Linked DNA regions of Caenorhabditis elegans. The protein of the gene in region 1 interacts with the protein of each later gene in a biochemical or structural test. Each region holds a gene or a part of one and is shown on either strand. Other genes may lie near its edges.

Region 1 (5,054 bases):
AAGCCACGCCAAGACGGAAGAAAGCAGATGACGTGGAAACTGTAGTAGCTGACGGAACAGCGACGATCCCGAAGCCGAAGAGAAAAAGGCCGCCGAGGAAGAAGCCTGAGCCGAAGCCGAATATCGTTTTTGAAACAACGCCGAATCCTCCGACAGAAAGCTTCGCAGCCAACAACAATTTCCAGCAGTTCCAGTTTCAAAATCAGCCTGGTAGTTGGACCTACAACAATGGATTCGGCAATGGATATGGGTACGGCGGTGGAACCACTGGATACATGGATAATCTTGTTGGCAGAGGGTTTGACACGGTTTCTCAGCAGCCTGGATTTCAGAATCAAGGTACATTTTTTAAAAGGAATTGAGAAAAATGTGCCAAAAAATTTTAAAGGTGGACTACGCTTTGTGGGGAAATTGCTTTAAAATACGCCTATGGTACCACAATGACCGAATATCATGATTAAAAAATTCAAAAATTTTTTCTAAATTTTATATGATTTTTTGAAAATTGGAAAAATCACAGTTTTCCCCTAATTCCTATTTGAATTACCGCCAATTGAATTTGTTCGATGGGGCGCGCTTGCACGTTTTTAAATTTATTTATTTTATTTTTTGTTATTTTCCACCGATTTTTAATGTTTTCGGTGTATTTTTGCTCGAATTTTAGAGAAAAAGTCAAAATAAATGCAAATTTTCGATTAAAAAGTGCGCTTACAGGCGTAAATCAGTGAAATTAATTAATTCAGGTTCGAAATCGTTTAAAAGCGTTACTTTTTCATTTTTACGCCTGTAAGCGTGCTTTTTAATCGAAAATTTGCATTTATGTTGATTTTTTCTCTAAAATTCGAGCAAAAATACACCGAAAACATTAAAAATCGGTGGAAAATAACAAAAAATAAAATAAATAAATTTAAAAACGTGCAAGCGCGCCCCATCGAACAAATTCAATTGGCGGTAATTCAAATAGGAATTAGGGGAAAACTGTGATTTTTTCAATTTTCAAAAAATCATATAAAATTTATAAATTTTTTTTTGAATTTTTTATCATGAAATTCGGTCATTGTGGTACCATAGGCATGTTTTAAAGCAATTTCCCCACTAGCGCTACCCCACCTTTAAAGGAATTGTGAAAATTGTGAAAAAAAAAATCAAAATTTCGAAAAAAAAAGCGCTAATTTTAACTAAAATCTCTAATTTTGGCCACTTTTCCGTGCTGCAGCGTCCGAAAGTGCACTTTTTTTGAATTATTATTCTTATTATTATACATTAAAAACCCCCGTACTCCTCCAATAACGCCAATATTATCGACCATCTGGACGTGACCGCGTGCAACCACGGCCTAGCTGCCGCCACCCCATTCAAACGAGACATTTCGGCGGGAGAGTCCTTTTTTTCGATAATTCGGATTTTTTTGTCTGTTTCAAGTAATTTTCGCCATAAAAATTACCATTTTCTTCTTCGGTGCCATTTCTAATGATTTTCCAGTGCGTTTTGAGTCTGAAAGTTTGAAAATAAGAGTTTTTGCACAAAAATGTGTGAGAAAAGTTCAAGAAAATCGTCGAAAAATTCAATAAATTAATTTTAAAATTTAAAAAAAAATTAATTTTTTTTAAAAATCAATTCTGTGCATACACCGCCACGCAAAAGTGCACACAATTACCTACCGTAGTCAATGCGAAATTAAATGATTTTTATCGATTTTCTTCATTTTCAGGTTACGAATTCACCGGTTTGCCTGCAAATAACTCGAATAATTTCCCATTTTTGTGATTTAATTTTTCAAATATCCTTATCTATGCCCTCAGGTTTATTTTATCTCATTTCCACTCGTGTTTTTTGAATAAAAATTCTTTTTTTTTCTTCTAGATTTCCGTTTATTTCAGAATGTCGAAGACTGTAAGAATTCCGGACATGTTCCTCAAAGCATCCGCTGCCTCTAAACGGTATTTCCCGCTCTGAAAATTCAAAAAAAACCACCGAAATTTCAGAAAATCCGCTTCAAATACTGAAAATATTCCGGAAAAAGTTCCCGCGGGCAATGAAAATCAAGAAGTCAAGAAAATGAAGTTACAAGCACCAGAACCAACTGAAATTCTGCTAAAATCCCTGCTAACCGGTGAATCTTGGTCGAAACTTTTAGAGGAGGAATTCAAAAAAGGCTATATTTCGAAAATCGAGAAATTCTTGAATTCCGAAGTGAACAAGGGCAAGCAAGTGTTCCCACCGCCCACACAAATTTTCACAACATTCAATCTTCTGCCATTCGACGAGATCAGCGTGGTTATCATCGGTCAAGACCCCTATCACGATGATAATCAAGCTCACGGGCTCTCCTTCAGTGTTCAGAAGGGTGTAAAACCGCCGCCATCGCTGAAAAATATCTATAAAGAGCTTGAATCCGATATTGAAGGCTTCAAGCGGCCCGATCACGGGAACCTGCTCGGCTGGACACGTCAGGGAGTGTTCATGTTGAATGCCACGTTGACGGTTCGGGCTCACGAGGCGAATTCTCACGCGAAGATCGGCTGGCAAACTTTCACGGACACTGTTATTCGGATTATTTCGCGACAATCGGAGAAGCCTATTGTCTTTTTGTTATGGGGAGGATTTGCTCATAAGAAGGAAGAACTGATTGATACAAAGAAACATGTAGTTATAAAGGTCATTATTTTTCTGGATAGAATTCTGGAAAAAGCATGGAAAAGTTGATTTTAAGATTTTTTCCCTAAAAATGTGTTGGAAAACGACAAAAATTGCCGATTTTCACCTGTAAAATCGGAAATTTTGCGATTTTGCTGGAAATTTAGGTAAAAATTGCCAGAAAACCTAGAAAAAAATTCAAGATTTTCCCATAAAATGGTAGTAAAATTGTCACTTTTCAGTTAAAAACTAAAAAAAATTCAGGGGTTTGCTCTAAATTTTCCCCTGATTCCGAATATCTATGTGAAAAATTGGAAAAAAACGTCCCTTTTATTGTAGAAAATCGACGATTTTCAAACGCGCGCCAGAGAGCCAGAGACGATTCTCATTGGAACGCACCGTGTTGTGTCGATTTACGAGATTTGTTTTTTTAAAGCCAATTTTTTGCTGTTTCTTCATTTTTTTTTTCGGTTTTTTGAACATTTTATTATTATAAAACTCGCAAAATTTCCTTATTTTTAGATGGAAAATGATTTAAATTCAGAGAAAAAAAACCGAATTTTTTCGATTTTTTCAAAGAAAATCGGAATTTTTCTTCTTTTTTTTTTTAAATAGAAAACCGGAATTTTTCTATTTCTTTCCAGAGAAAATCGGAATTTTTTCGTTTTTTTTAATTTTTTTCAAAGAAAATCGGAATTTTTTCGATTTTTTTTTTGATTTTTTAGAGAAAATCGGAATATTTTCGATTTTTTCAAAGAAAATCGGAATTTTTTCCATTTTTTCATATAGTTTTCCAGAGAAAATCGGAATTTTTTCCATTTTTTAAAAGAGAAAATCGGAATTTTTTTGAAATTTTTAAGGAGAAAATTAGAATTTTTTCGATTTTTTAAAAGAGAAAATTAAAATTTTTTTTTTCTATTTTTTCAGAGAAAAATCGAAAAACAGAAATTGTTTTTTAATCGAAAAAAAAATTCGAGAAAATTTCTATTTAAAAACTCCAATTTTCTCTTTAAAAACTCAAAAAATTCCGATTTTCTCTGAATTTACCTCCTTTTTCATCTAAAAATAGGAAATTTTCGCGGTTTTCTGATCATAAAATGTTCAATTGGCTCGAAAATACACAATTTTCAACGAAAAAAACCGATAAAAATGAATAAAAAGCTGAAAGCTGGCTCGTAAATCGGCACAAGACACAGCGCGCTTCAATGTCTGGCGCGCGTTTGAAAATCGTCGATTTTCTACAATAAAAGGGACTTTTTTTTCCAATTTTTCACATAGATATTTTAAACAAGGAGCAAATTTGGAGCAAAACCTGGAGAATCTTGTTTTTTTTTTTGGTTTTTAACTGAAAATTGACAATTTTACTACAATTTTGTGGGAAATTCTTGAATTTTTTAAAGTTTTTCTGGCAATTTTTGACATTTTCCACCAAAATTTAAATTAATTTCAAAGGGAAAAATTGATTGGTTTCAGACGTGGAAAATCGCAAAATTTTTGATTTTTGTGAAAAAAAAAACCTATTTTTTAGCGTATTTTAAAAATATTTCCACTAAACTCAAATTTAATTTTTTAAAAAATTTTAAAAAATTTCCAGACCGCCCATCCGTCTCCGCTGAGTGCTCGCAAGTGGTGGGGATGCAAATGCTTCTCGAAATGCAACACGGAGCTCGAAAATTCCGGTCGAAACCCGATTAATTGGGCGGATTTATGAATAAATTCTCCTGTCGAACACCCTGCGTCTCTTCATCTCACACACTCTCTCGCCACTCACTGAAGAACTCTGTTATTTATCGATTTTTCTATTTTCTCTTCATTTTTCCTCATTTTTTCCTCATTTTTTCGGTTTTTCATCATAAAAATTCGATTTTCTGGCCATTTTTTTGTTCAATTTCCAATTTTTCATTCGTTTCAACGATTTTTAAATGCTTTTCACGGAAATTGCAGCGAAAAATTGTTTTTTTAACAGAAAAAAAGAATGCGGCGACAAAAAACCGAAGAGGAACGGAGCTGGACTTCAATTTCTCGGCATTTTTTATGCCTTGAATGTAGAAAATATTTCCGGAATAAGGTAGAGAAGATAATATTCTAATTAAATCGCAGAAAATATATTAAAAATTGAAAAAAAAAAACCGATTTTTCCCAAAAAATATATTAAAAAACCGAAAAAATTCCAATTTCTTCTTTAAAAAAATTTAAAAACATTGAAAAATGCTAATTTTTCTTATAAAAAACGAGAAAATTCCGATTTTTCTCTAAAAATATATTAAAAATTGAAATTATTCCGATTTTTCAGTAAAAATATCAAAAAATCAGATTTTTCTCTAAAAATACATTAAAAAATCAGATTTTTCTCTAAAAATACATTAAAAAATCCGTTTTTTTTTTAAATTTATATTAAAAATCGAAAAATTCCGATT
Region 2 (3,963 bases), 1.8 Mb from region 1:
ATTTCACAAGATTCTGGCATTTCTTCTTAAAGGCGCATAGTTCTTTTCAGATGGGTCTTGGCGCGCAAGTCAGGTTATTTCTAAAAAATATAATCTTTTTGTTTTCTTTTTAGAAAAATAATAAGAATAAAACAAAAATCGCTAAAAACAAAGTAATTTAATTGTAAAATGCGAGGAAAATAAATAAAGACTACCATAAACTTTTTTGCGCGCTGAGACCATCTGAATAATACCATGCGCCTTTAAGATAATAATATAGGATTAAACTTTTTCTAAACACGAATGAATCTAGAGGAAGTGGAATCGGTGATATTCTTCGACCATCTTCACTTCTCAACCTAATGAAACACGCTTCCTCGTCACGCAGTTTGGAGCGGCAGAGAAGTCCCGGAAGCTTCAGAATGGAAACTCTGACGCCTGGCTCGCCAACAAATACACCGATTGAACCCATTGATAAAATTGATAAGAAAAAATAGACATGTTCTCTTTTGGATGCTATCCGATTTGTAGTACTGTAAAATTAATTGTAATTAATTCAATAAAGAAATTTGAAGACTCGATTTATTTTCAATCAGAGCTCAGAACGCTTTGAAGAGAATCTCGGTACGGAGGGGAACAAATCAGCTTCATAAGCTGAAACATAATGATTCTAATTCTCTTATCCTGAGACTACTAACCTAGAAACAATCGATACTGAAGATTGGTGGGGAAAATGTATGGTATGGAAAAGGGGGAAACAATCAATTTATTACACTTTACAACAAAAAAGATCAAGGTGTGGGAACTTATTTCTTGGCGGCGAGAGCAAGCTTGATAAGTCCATCGGTGGAGTGTGACTTTGGACGTTCGAGTGGAAGTCCCATACCTCTGGCCCAGATCAATTGCGAGAGACATCCGAGAGCTCTAGAAACTCCGAAAAGAACAGTGTAGAAGGACATCTCGGTCATTCCAAAGTATTGAAGAAGGACACCGGAGTGGGAGTCCACGTTTGGCCATGGGTTCTTGGCTTTTCCTTGTTCGAGAAGAATTCCTGGAGTGATCTTGTAAAGAGTCGAGACCAGCTTGAAAAGATCATCGTTTGGCAAATGTTTAAGGGCGAATTCACGTTGGCACTCGTATCTTGGATCGGTTTTTCTAAGTACGGCATGTCCATATCCTGGTACAACTTGGCCGCTCTTCAAGTGCTTCCATACCCATTCCTTAAGTTGTTCCTCGGTGTAGTTAAAACCGATTTCTCCAACAATCTTGTTCAAGAAAACGAGAACCTGGAAAAAATTGTTTTTAATAAAATAAGAATAAATTAAAGTTTAGTACCTCTTGGTTAGCCAATCCGTGGAGTGGTCCAGCAAGTCCAGCCATGGCGGCGGAGAAGGAAAGGTATGGATCAGAAAGAGCAGATCCTACAAGATGGGAAGTGTGAGCGGATACATTTCCTCCTTCGTGATCAGAGTGAATAACAAGGTAGAGTCTCATAAGCTCAGCGAAAAGTGGATCATCATATCCAAGCATAGAAGAGAAGTTGGCGGACCAATCTTTCTTTGGATCGATGACACTGACTGCAGATCCATCACGGTACAGGTTGCGATAGATGATAGCGGCAACAGTTGGCAATTTAGCGAGAAGATCCATTGAGTCCTGAAAACTGTTTATGTCAGTCATCCGTTCAAAGAGACAGCTGTTGTTTTTTGATGTTTACCTCATAAGCGTACTCCCAGTAGGAGGCCTTGGCGACTCCACGAGCATAAGCTCCGGCGAATTTGCTTTCATTGTTCAAAGCAGCGATAGCGGCGATGAATTGAGCCATTGGATGGAGGTTATCTGGGAAGTTGTCGAGCATTCGGACAACGTGGGTTGGAAGATCGGCACGGGCGTTCCATTCTTTTGTGATAGCGGCAGTCTGGGCCTCGGATGGAACATCTCCTGTACACAAAAGCCACCAAATGGCTTCTGGAAGCGGCTCTTCTCCTCCCTTTGCTTTTGGAAGAAGCTTTTGGCATTCTGGGATAGAGTATCCACGGAATCTGATTCCCTCCTCTGGGTCAAGAACTGAGGTTTCGGTGACCATTCCCTTCATGCTTCTCATGCCTCCGTAGATCTTGAAAAAGAGACTATGAATTTAAACTTCCTAGTAGTTGCTTACCATGTCAATGTTCACATTTTGAACGACGGTGCTACCGTGCTCTGTGCGGAATGACTTCACTTTAGCGTTGTGGGCTGGGATCTTCTTGGAAAGAACCTCCTTCAAATTGGTGGATCCTTCAGCAGATGTTGAAAGTGGAGCGACTTGACACACAGGGATGACTCCCTTGGTGATAAGTCTGCGAATAGCCATTCCAGAGAGCGACATTTTCTGGTCGGATTAAACCTGGAAATCACGAAAATTTAAAATTGGAAAACTTGCATCGTCATATCAATGTGGCGGGTCACGCAATTAAAAAAAACAGATGAGATTTATCATTTGAGAACTTGAAAATGATGATAAATTTTATTGAAACATTTTAACTACGCTGTGAAGGTGAAACAATTTGCGACCGCGACCCACACTCGTTCAAAAATGAGGACGGGCGGCGCGCAGGCCGCACACTTTTTTCTTTTCTTCTCTAAATCTCGCTCTCGTGCACTGCAGAGAATGAGTGTGGAAAAGAGTTTTGTAGAGGTCAGAGGCATAGAGATTACGCATCTTCTATAGAATTCTATTGATGATTGATGGAACCACGTTGGGGAGAAAACGGACAAAGAACATCATTGGTATTTACTGTTTCTATAAGTGATGGAGGTAATGATAAAACACAGCCGCCCGTTGATGGAGTGAGAGCACATTGTCTTCATAGAAATAGAAACCATAACGCACAAAACTGTGACGTTTCGCACACAATCTTACCACGCGGCAGGCACACAAAGAACAATCACAGTAGAATTGACACGAGGAAAAGTAATGGAGGGAGAGAAAACACAAAGAACGACAAAAATATAATTTCGAGTAGTTTCAACTCTGAATGGCATTATTCAAAAAAATATTTAAAAAGGATATAATCATTCAGACGCTTCATTTTTCAGGAATACGCAATAATATTTTCAATCCGTGAAATCATAGGTGTTGAAATGGATAATCGCCGATTTACAAGCACACTGTTTAGCCTCTTCCGCCGATGAACCATGTCCAGCAAACACTAGCGGCCCGGAATCTGGCATATTCTTCTTCCGTAGCTTTTCCTTCTCGGCAGTAGCCTTCATAATTTCTTCAGTCTGGGTGTGTTCTGCTCCCATTTCCAAATCGTCGGGGTCTGGAGAAACTAGACGCCGGAACGAGATTTCCAATAGCACCTGATGTATTCCCATTGTGCTCACTGATAATACGTTGAAATCCATGCTGTAGTCTGAAAATCTTTTCTTGTCCGAGAGTATATCAATCAGTGCGGAATGCTTGTCTTTAATCTTGGATGCTTGATCCTGAATTTCGAGTAAATGTTCAGCTTCTTCCAAATTTTCAATCACATCAACTGAAAGCAGTAAAATTAAATATTAACTACAATTATTTGGAGGCATACCCATATCATATGATTCCAGAGATTCGATACCGTCTTCCAACGCTTTCCACATCAACCATGCTGCAAGATTCTTTGCGTCCTTCTTCTTACTTCTGATTCCTCTGGTTTTTTGATTGCACATCTGAAATTTTTTATTATTTTCGAGTTATTAATTAGCAGTTCTACCGTGCATATAACCAAGAAACGCTCGGTTCTCTCATTCTTGGAATCTTCATAGATTGGGGCTTGCAGCTTGCTTTTTTGAGATTTTTCCTGCAACTTTCCGACCCAATTCTCGGTTGGCGAAATACCAGGTGGAAATTCAGCACTTGTAGGAATCGAATCATCGTTATCGTTATCCTGAACAGCATCTGAAGTTGATCGTTTCAATTCCTCAGCCTTATCCGATATTTGATCACTGAAAACAATTGAAATA
Region 3 (5,710 bases), on another chromosome or scaffold:
AAGAAGAAAAACTTTCATGGGAGGAGTGCAGAACGAAGCAGGAGAGAAATCAGAGAAATGGGTCCGTTTTGATAGTTCGCAGTGAAATAAAACTGAGTGAAAATGAGCCGAAAATTGTTGGCGGCAACGGTGACAAGTGATAGAAAATGGTATTTTAACCGCCCGCGCGCCATGATTTTAGGTCAATAGTCTTACAAGAGCACGTGAATTTCATGTGAAAATGTTGCAGCGCAAAGAAAAATGTTCAGGCCGAAACAAATTCAATGGCCAAGATTGCACTCGCGTCAGAACAATGGCTTCCATGCACACTTCAAACCTACAAGACCGAGTTTCCAATCCTAGGGATCCATTTTTAAACTTTTTGTGTTTATGAAGCCATCGTTTTAGGGCGGTAATATATAAATATTTACAAGATCCAGTTAAATATACTATTTAGCTGCGACAAATACGAAGAGGGTACAAGATTGCTAAACATTCAAATATATTTCAACGTACCAAATAAATTTTTACGATTTATTCCAGAGGTGGATTAGCACAAAAATGATGAGAAAAAGTAACAAACAACCGTGTTTATTATAATAGAAAAATTAACAATAAACAATCTTGACAGAATTACATCTTGTCGAGATAGTTGTCAAGGGCTGGGACACCTTCCTTGAGCCCCTTTCTCTTTCTGGTGTCCAAAACGATCTGGTTTGGCTTGGTTCCGGCCTCAAGCGGGTCTCCTGGAAGCACCTGCCAATGGTCGAACACGCATTGTGGGAAGGCTTGTCCTCCGGTGTTGGAGCGGAGATCGGCGGTGAATCCGAAGGACTCGTTGACAGGCAAGTAAGCCTTGACGACGAACATTGGAGTTCCTGTGACCTGAGACTCCTCGAAAACGTGTCCTCTTCTTCTGTTCAACACTCCGTAGATACCTAAAATAAATAAGTAATATAAAAACGTATAAGTTTTGAAAATATGCAACATACCTCCAACGGCGGCTTCTGGGCATTGAATTTCGACCAAGTAGACTGGCTCGAGAAGACGTGGCTCGGCGGTAAGAACCGAAGCGTAGAACACACGACGGGCAGTTGGGATGATTTGACCACCTCCTCTGTGGATAGCGTCAGCGTGGAGGGTGACATCGTGAACGTTGAAGCGAACTCCGCGCATGTTTTCGTCGGAAAGAACTCCTTCGCGAGTGGCCCATTGGAATCCAGCGACAACGGAGTCCTTGATTTCATTGAGGTATTGCACTCCTTTGGTGACGTCCATCAAGAGATTTGGTCCAGTTCCGTCTGGTCCGAAGCACCAGATCTTACGGGCTTCAGTGACGTCGTATTCGTACTTCTCGGCGAGGATCTTGGCACGAGCCTTGAACTCATCACGAGCGTTGACGGTTCCTCCTTCGATATCATCGGCGAGACCATCTGGCATTGGCTGAGCGGTACAGTGAAGACGATTGTGCTTATTTGGAGATTTGGACAAGCAGATCTGGTTAGACTCGGATTGAACAGTTTCACGGTAAGAGACGACCGGGTCAGACTTCTTGAGTGGAATGCAAGCGTGGTCCTCCTCCAAATCCTTCAGACAGATTTCCAAGTGAAGCTCTCCAGCTCCGGCGATGATGTGTTCTCCGGATTCTTCGAAGATACATTGGACCATAGGATCGGACTTGGCAAGACGTTTGAGTCCTTCGACGAGCTTTGGAAGATCAGCTGGGTTCTTAGCTTCGACGGCAACACGGACGACTGGAGATACGGAGAACTTCATGACACGCATGTTGTGGGCATCCTTGTAAGTGGTGATGGTTCCTCCCTTGACGAGGTATTGATCGACTCCAACAAGTCCAGCGATGTTTCCGGATGGAATATCCTCAATTGGCTCGATGAAACGTCCCATCATAAGAATGGTACGCTGAATGGTCTTCTCATAGAGATCTTCCTTCTTTCCTGGAACGTAGTTTGGTCCTTGAATGCGAGCCTTCATTCCAGTGGCGACCTTTCCGGAGAACACACGTCCGAAAGCGTAGAAACGTCCCTTATCGGAAGTTGGCACCATCTTGGAGATGTACATCATGAGTGGTCCATTTGGATCACAGGTCTTGATAGCAACGGCGGCCTCGTCGTCGTGTGGTCCTTCGTAGAGCATCTCCATTCTGTATTTTTGAGCAGTCACTGGGGATGGAAGATGGAAAGCGATCATCTGGAGCATAGTGTCTCCGGCTGGAAGCCACTTGCGCATGAAGACCTTCATGAGTGGTTTTCCTTCCAAATCCTTCTCGTCGTTGGCGAGCTTGATTCCGAGCTTCTCAACAAGAGCAGCGGTCTTGTCCTTCTTGATGTTCATGACGGCGTCGAAGACCATGAAGATTGGGTCAAGAACGAATTGGCAGAATCCACGCTTGCTCTCATCGGTCTGAGTACTGCTCCACTTCTTGGTCTTGAGATCGAAGAAACGATCTCCCCAGAGGTTCTTCATGAGCTTGTCAACCTGTAAAAATATTTTATATAATTTTAACATACAACAATCAATTTACTTGAACTCCGAACTTTCCGGCGTACATCTCAGCGAACTGCTTGAGGGTGAAGGCCCATCCGTGGAGTCCAGATCCGAATCCGACGTTTCCGATAGATGGATCAACCATGATTGGTCCCATCGGTCCATCGTCGTCTCCGTAAGTGGCAATGATGACGTTGATGTTTTCAACGATACGCTAAACGACAAATATATAACAATGTTACAGTTGAAACACAAAGCTTACTTGGAAGGTTTGGAAAAGTTCCTCGGCTCCGAGTTGAAGTTCGAGAAGGGCACGGTCCATCTTGTTCATGAAAAGAACTGGCTTGATACGCTCAGCAATAGCCTGACGCAGCACAGTCTCGGTTTGGACACACACTCCGGAAACACAATCGACGACGACGAGAGCTCCATCAGTAACACGAAGAGCAGCAGTAACTTCAGACGAGAAGTCAACGTGACCGGGTGAATCGATCAAATTGATCAAGAAACCGTTGTATTTCTCTTTCTTTCCATCAACCTCAACCGTCTCGAATTGGTTTTCTCCCTTGACGAACTCCAAATCCTTCTTCTCGAGCTCGAAGAAAAGAGAGATAGCACTAAAACAATATTATATTTAAGCTGAAATCCTAAAAATGAACTTACGTAGATTTGATGGTAATACAACGCTCCTGCTCATCCTTACGAGTGTCAGTGAAACGAGTCTCTCCAGCCTTGGATCCGGCAATAATACCGGCTTTGGAAACGAGTGAATCGGTAAGGGTAGATTTTCCGTGATCGACGTGAGCAATAACAGACATGTTACGAATGTTACGCTTGCGATCCATAAGCGCACGGATCTCATCGACCGTGAAGTTGACCTGAAGAGGAAAAAATAATTATTTCAATCGATAAAAATTATGAAATTTTACCTAACGAAATTTTTTCTGAAAATCCATAATTTAATTCAGATTTTGATAATACTGAATGGTTCTCAGTTGAAATTTAATTTAATTAACATATCCGGGAACGAAATCTCAGTAGGCCCAAAATTTGCTAATTTCATTTAATTATTTTGAAACTTTACGTTTTTGTCCTAAATTTTTTTCGAAAATAATAGACGACAATTCATCAGAACGTACAGTTACAATAATTAGAGGGATAAATACTCACCATTTTTAGTTTTTTGTAGGGTTCTCTTCAGATACAACAACAAAAAAGGACCGCACAGAGGATAGCGGCGTGACAAGAGTAAAGAAATTTGCGTTGTCAACTCCTCCAGCAAGATCTGTTAGATGTGCAGGCAAAGTACGGTAGAGCGCCAATTCAAACACTTGGCGCTCTGCCAACCAATTCATTTTCGCGCCTACTTTTGAATCTTAATGCCATTTTTTCCTTATTTTTCTACAAAAAATTGTCAAATCTGTTTAACTTTTTCTTAATAAAGTCAAAAAAGGGCCATTACATTTATCATAATGTTGTACTTTATAACTGACCGAAGAAAATCACGCTCTATAGACTGAAATTTTCCAAACTTCTTTTTAATATTGTTTTAGTTTAATTTCCAGATGAATTCTGATTCCTGTTCAACAAAAACCGTGTCAGCAGACGATACAGATTCTCCATCTTCTCTAGTTGCCGAACACACCATGTCCGATTCCCAGGTAATGGTTTTAAGACCGAAACTGGATCGAAATACATATTTCAGGAGCAGCTGATATCTAGTGAAAACACGGAAGTCGATAAGCAAGCTGAAGAAGACCGAAAACTTCGTCGTCTTAATCGTCGTAAAGCACTGGCTTTAGAACGAAGTCCTCTTCCTGTTCCGAAGCTTGGGAGAGTCCTATTATCTGCCAATAGTACGATTGACCTGACAAATGAAGATGATGACCCAAGTAACAAATGGTTCAAAAAGACGTTTAATGCTGAAAAAATTCCGAAATTGGCAAAAAGTCCGGAAGAAGCTAAATTATTCGCCGTTCCTCGAAAAATATCGAAGAACGCACCCAAGAGCCGTTAGTTTCGTTCGTAATAATTCTGATTTAACTTACTTTTTCCAGTTCTGACCAGCGAGACTTTAAAAAAGAAGCTTCAAGCTTCGATGTCAGCGAAGCGACGGAAAGGTATCGGCTTCGTGTTAAATTTTTACAATTTTTGAGTTTTCAGAACAAGAGCAACGTCGGAAAATGTATGAAGAGGATAATGAACATCTGAAGGCTGGCAGTGATGAAGAAGAGGAAGAAGATGTCGTTTTTAAAAAAAAGAAGGGAAAGAAACCTGTGAATGAAGAAGAATATAAAAGCGAAGATGATGAAGACTATGAACCTGAAAATAGCGGAGAAGAAGATTCAGATGAGAAGAATAATGGCCGAGCCGACGATGAAATGAGTGTGAACTTGTTGAATGACTCGTTTACTTACGATGTTTTCAATAATGTGAAGAGATCAGGACCTGGATCAACTGTTTCAAATTTCGACTCGTTAGTGTTTCATCTAAATTTATTTTCTGCGGTTTTTGTGTAACATATGTGTCAGATCTTTCAAAGAAATCTCTGATTGATAGAGTTTTTATAAATAAAATTTAGGCGTTCCGAAGCAGATGTTGTTGAAAAAAATGGAGTAGTTCAACTGCCGACAATGACGGAAATTACTGGCGGATCCAACGATATTCTCAATTTGTGCCCTGGAAGTTTTGGAGTTTCACAGTCTGCTGGTTTTCCAGACACTTTGCAAATGTTGATAGAAGAAGACACGACTGAAAGAAAAATGTATGTTTTAGAAAACTTAATCTCATTCCGGAAAATCTGAAATTGGAGCCCTTTTTCTTTTCCTTGAAACTATTCGCATTCTCAAAGAAAAAGTTTATCAAATCATTAAACAAAAGATAATTTGTTGTAAATCTTTTAAATAGAGAACTTGATAATTCTTTCTCATAAATTTAGAGAGGTTTTTTGGATCTCGTTCCTTTATCAAATCTTGATTATCGATAGAGCGCGCTTACAGCTCAACTGTGAAGAAATGAAATTTCGGTTGTTTTTTTTTGACTTTCTAATTTGTGGTTTTTTCTGCAAATCTTAAAAAAAAAATACAAGAAAAAATCGTCCACGATCGCTTATTCACTTTCGAAAACATTGTTCTGTGTTCCAAACGATTTAATTATATTAAATGAGATCTTTTTAAAGAAATCTGCCACAAAACTCGACGTCCGTGTCGTCAGACAAGCCCCGCTT

What was found. The genes of interacting proteins can lie anywhere in the genome.
Region 2: the proteins of ung-1 (region 1) and cts-1 form a complex in vitro, tested with the Caenorhabditis elegans proteins (one large-scale study listed by BioGRID).
Region 3: the proteins of ung-1 (region 1) and eef-2 form a complex in vitro, tested with the Caenorhabditis elegans proteins (one large-scale study listed by BioGRID).

The regions. Positions count from the first base shown.
Region 1 is NC_003281.10:11,970,917-11,975,970, reverse strand, and holds ung-1 (Uracil-DNA glycosylase), read left to right. Parts: upstream 1-1,880; 5' UTR 1,881-1,881; coding exon 1,882-1,940; intron 1,941-1,985; coding exon 1,986-2,658; intron 2,659-4,231; coding exon 4,232-4,348; 3' UTR 4,349-4,504; downstream 4,505-5,054. Other genes in the region: Y56A3A.31 (SOSS complex subunit A homolog), read right to left, coding at 1,445-1,465; Y56A3A.30 (SP-RING-type domain-containing protein), read left to right, coding at 1-339, 1,712-1,767; Y56A3A.28 (C2H2-type domain-containing protein), read left to right, coding at 4,613-4,705. UniProt on the Caenorhabditis elegans protein: Excises uracil residues from the DNA which can arise as a result of misincorporation of dUMP residues by DNA polymerase or due to deamination of cytosine.
Region 2 is NC_003281.10:10,214,271-10,218,233, forward strand, and holds cts-1 (putative citrate synthase, mitochondrial), read right to left. Parts: upstream 2,366-3,963; 5' UTR 2,348-2,365; coding exon 2,141-2,347; intron 2,096-2,140; coding exon 1,697-2,095; intron 1,636-1,696; coding exon 1,315-1,635; intron 1,266-1,314; coding exon 786-1,265; 3' UTR 501-785; downstream 1-500. Other genes in the region: best-18 (Bestrophin homolog 18), read left to right, coding at 293-476; rde-4 (DRBM domain-containing protein), read right to left, coding at 3,076-3,500, 3,549-3,669, 3,714-3,945.
Region 3 is NC_003279.8:9,161,601-9,167,310, reverse strand, and holds eef-2 (Elongation factor 2), read right to left. Parts: upstream 3,735-5,710; 5' UTR 3,658-3,734; coding exon 3,655-3,657; intron 3,363-3,654; coding exon 3,148-3,362; intron 3,102-3,147; coding exon 2,747-3,101; intron 2,699-2,746; coding exon 2,522-2,698; intron 2,476-2,521; coding exon 972-2,475; intron 918-971; coding exon 613-917; 3' UTR 501-612; downstream 1-500. Other genes in the region: clsp-1 (Claspin), read left to right, coding at 4,050-4,145, 4,190-4,496, 4,542-4,604, 4,648-4,960, 5,066-5,248, 5,663-5,710. UniProt on the Caenorhabditis elegans protein: Catalyzes the GTP-dependent ribosomal translocation step during translation elongation.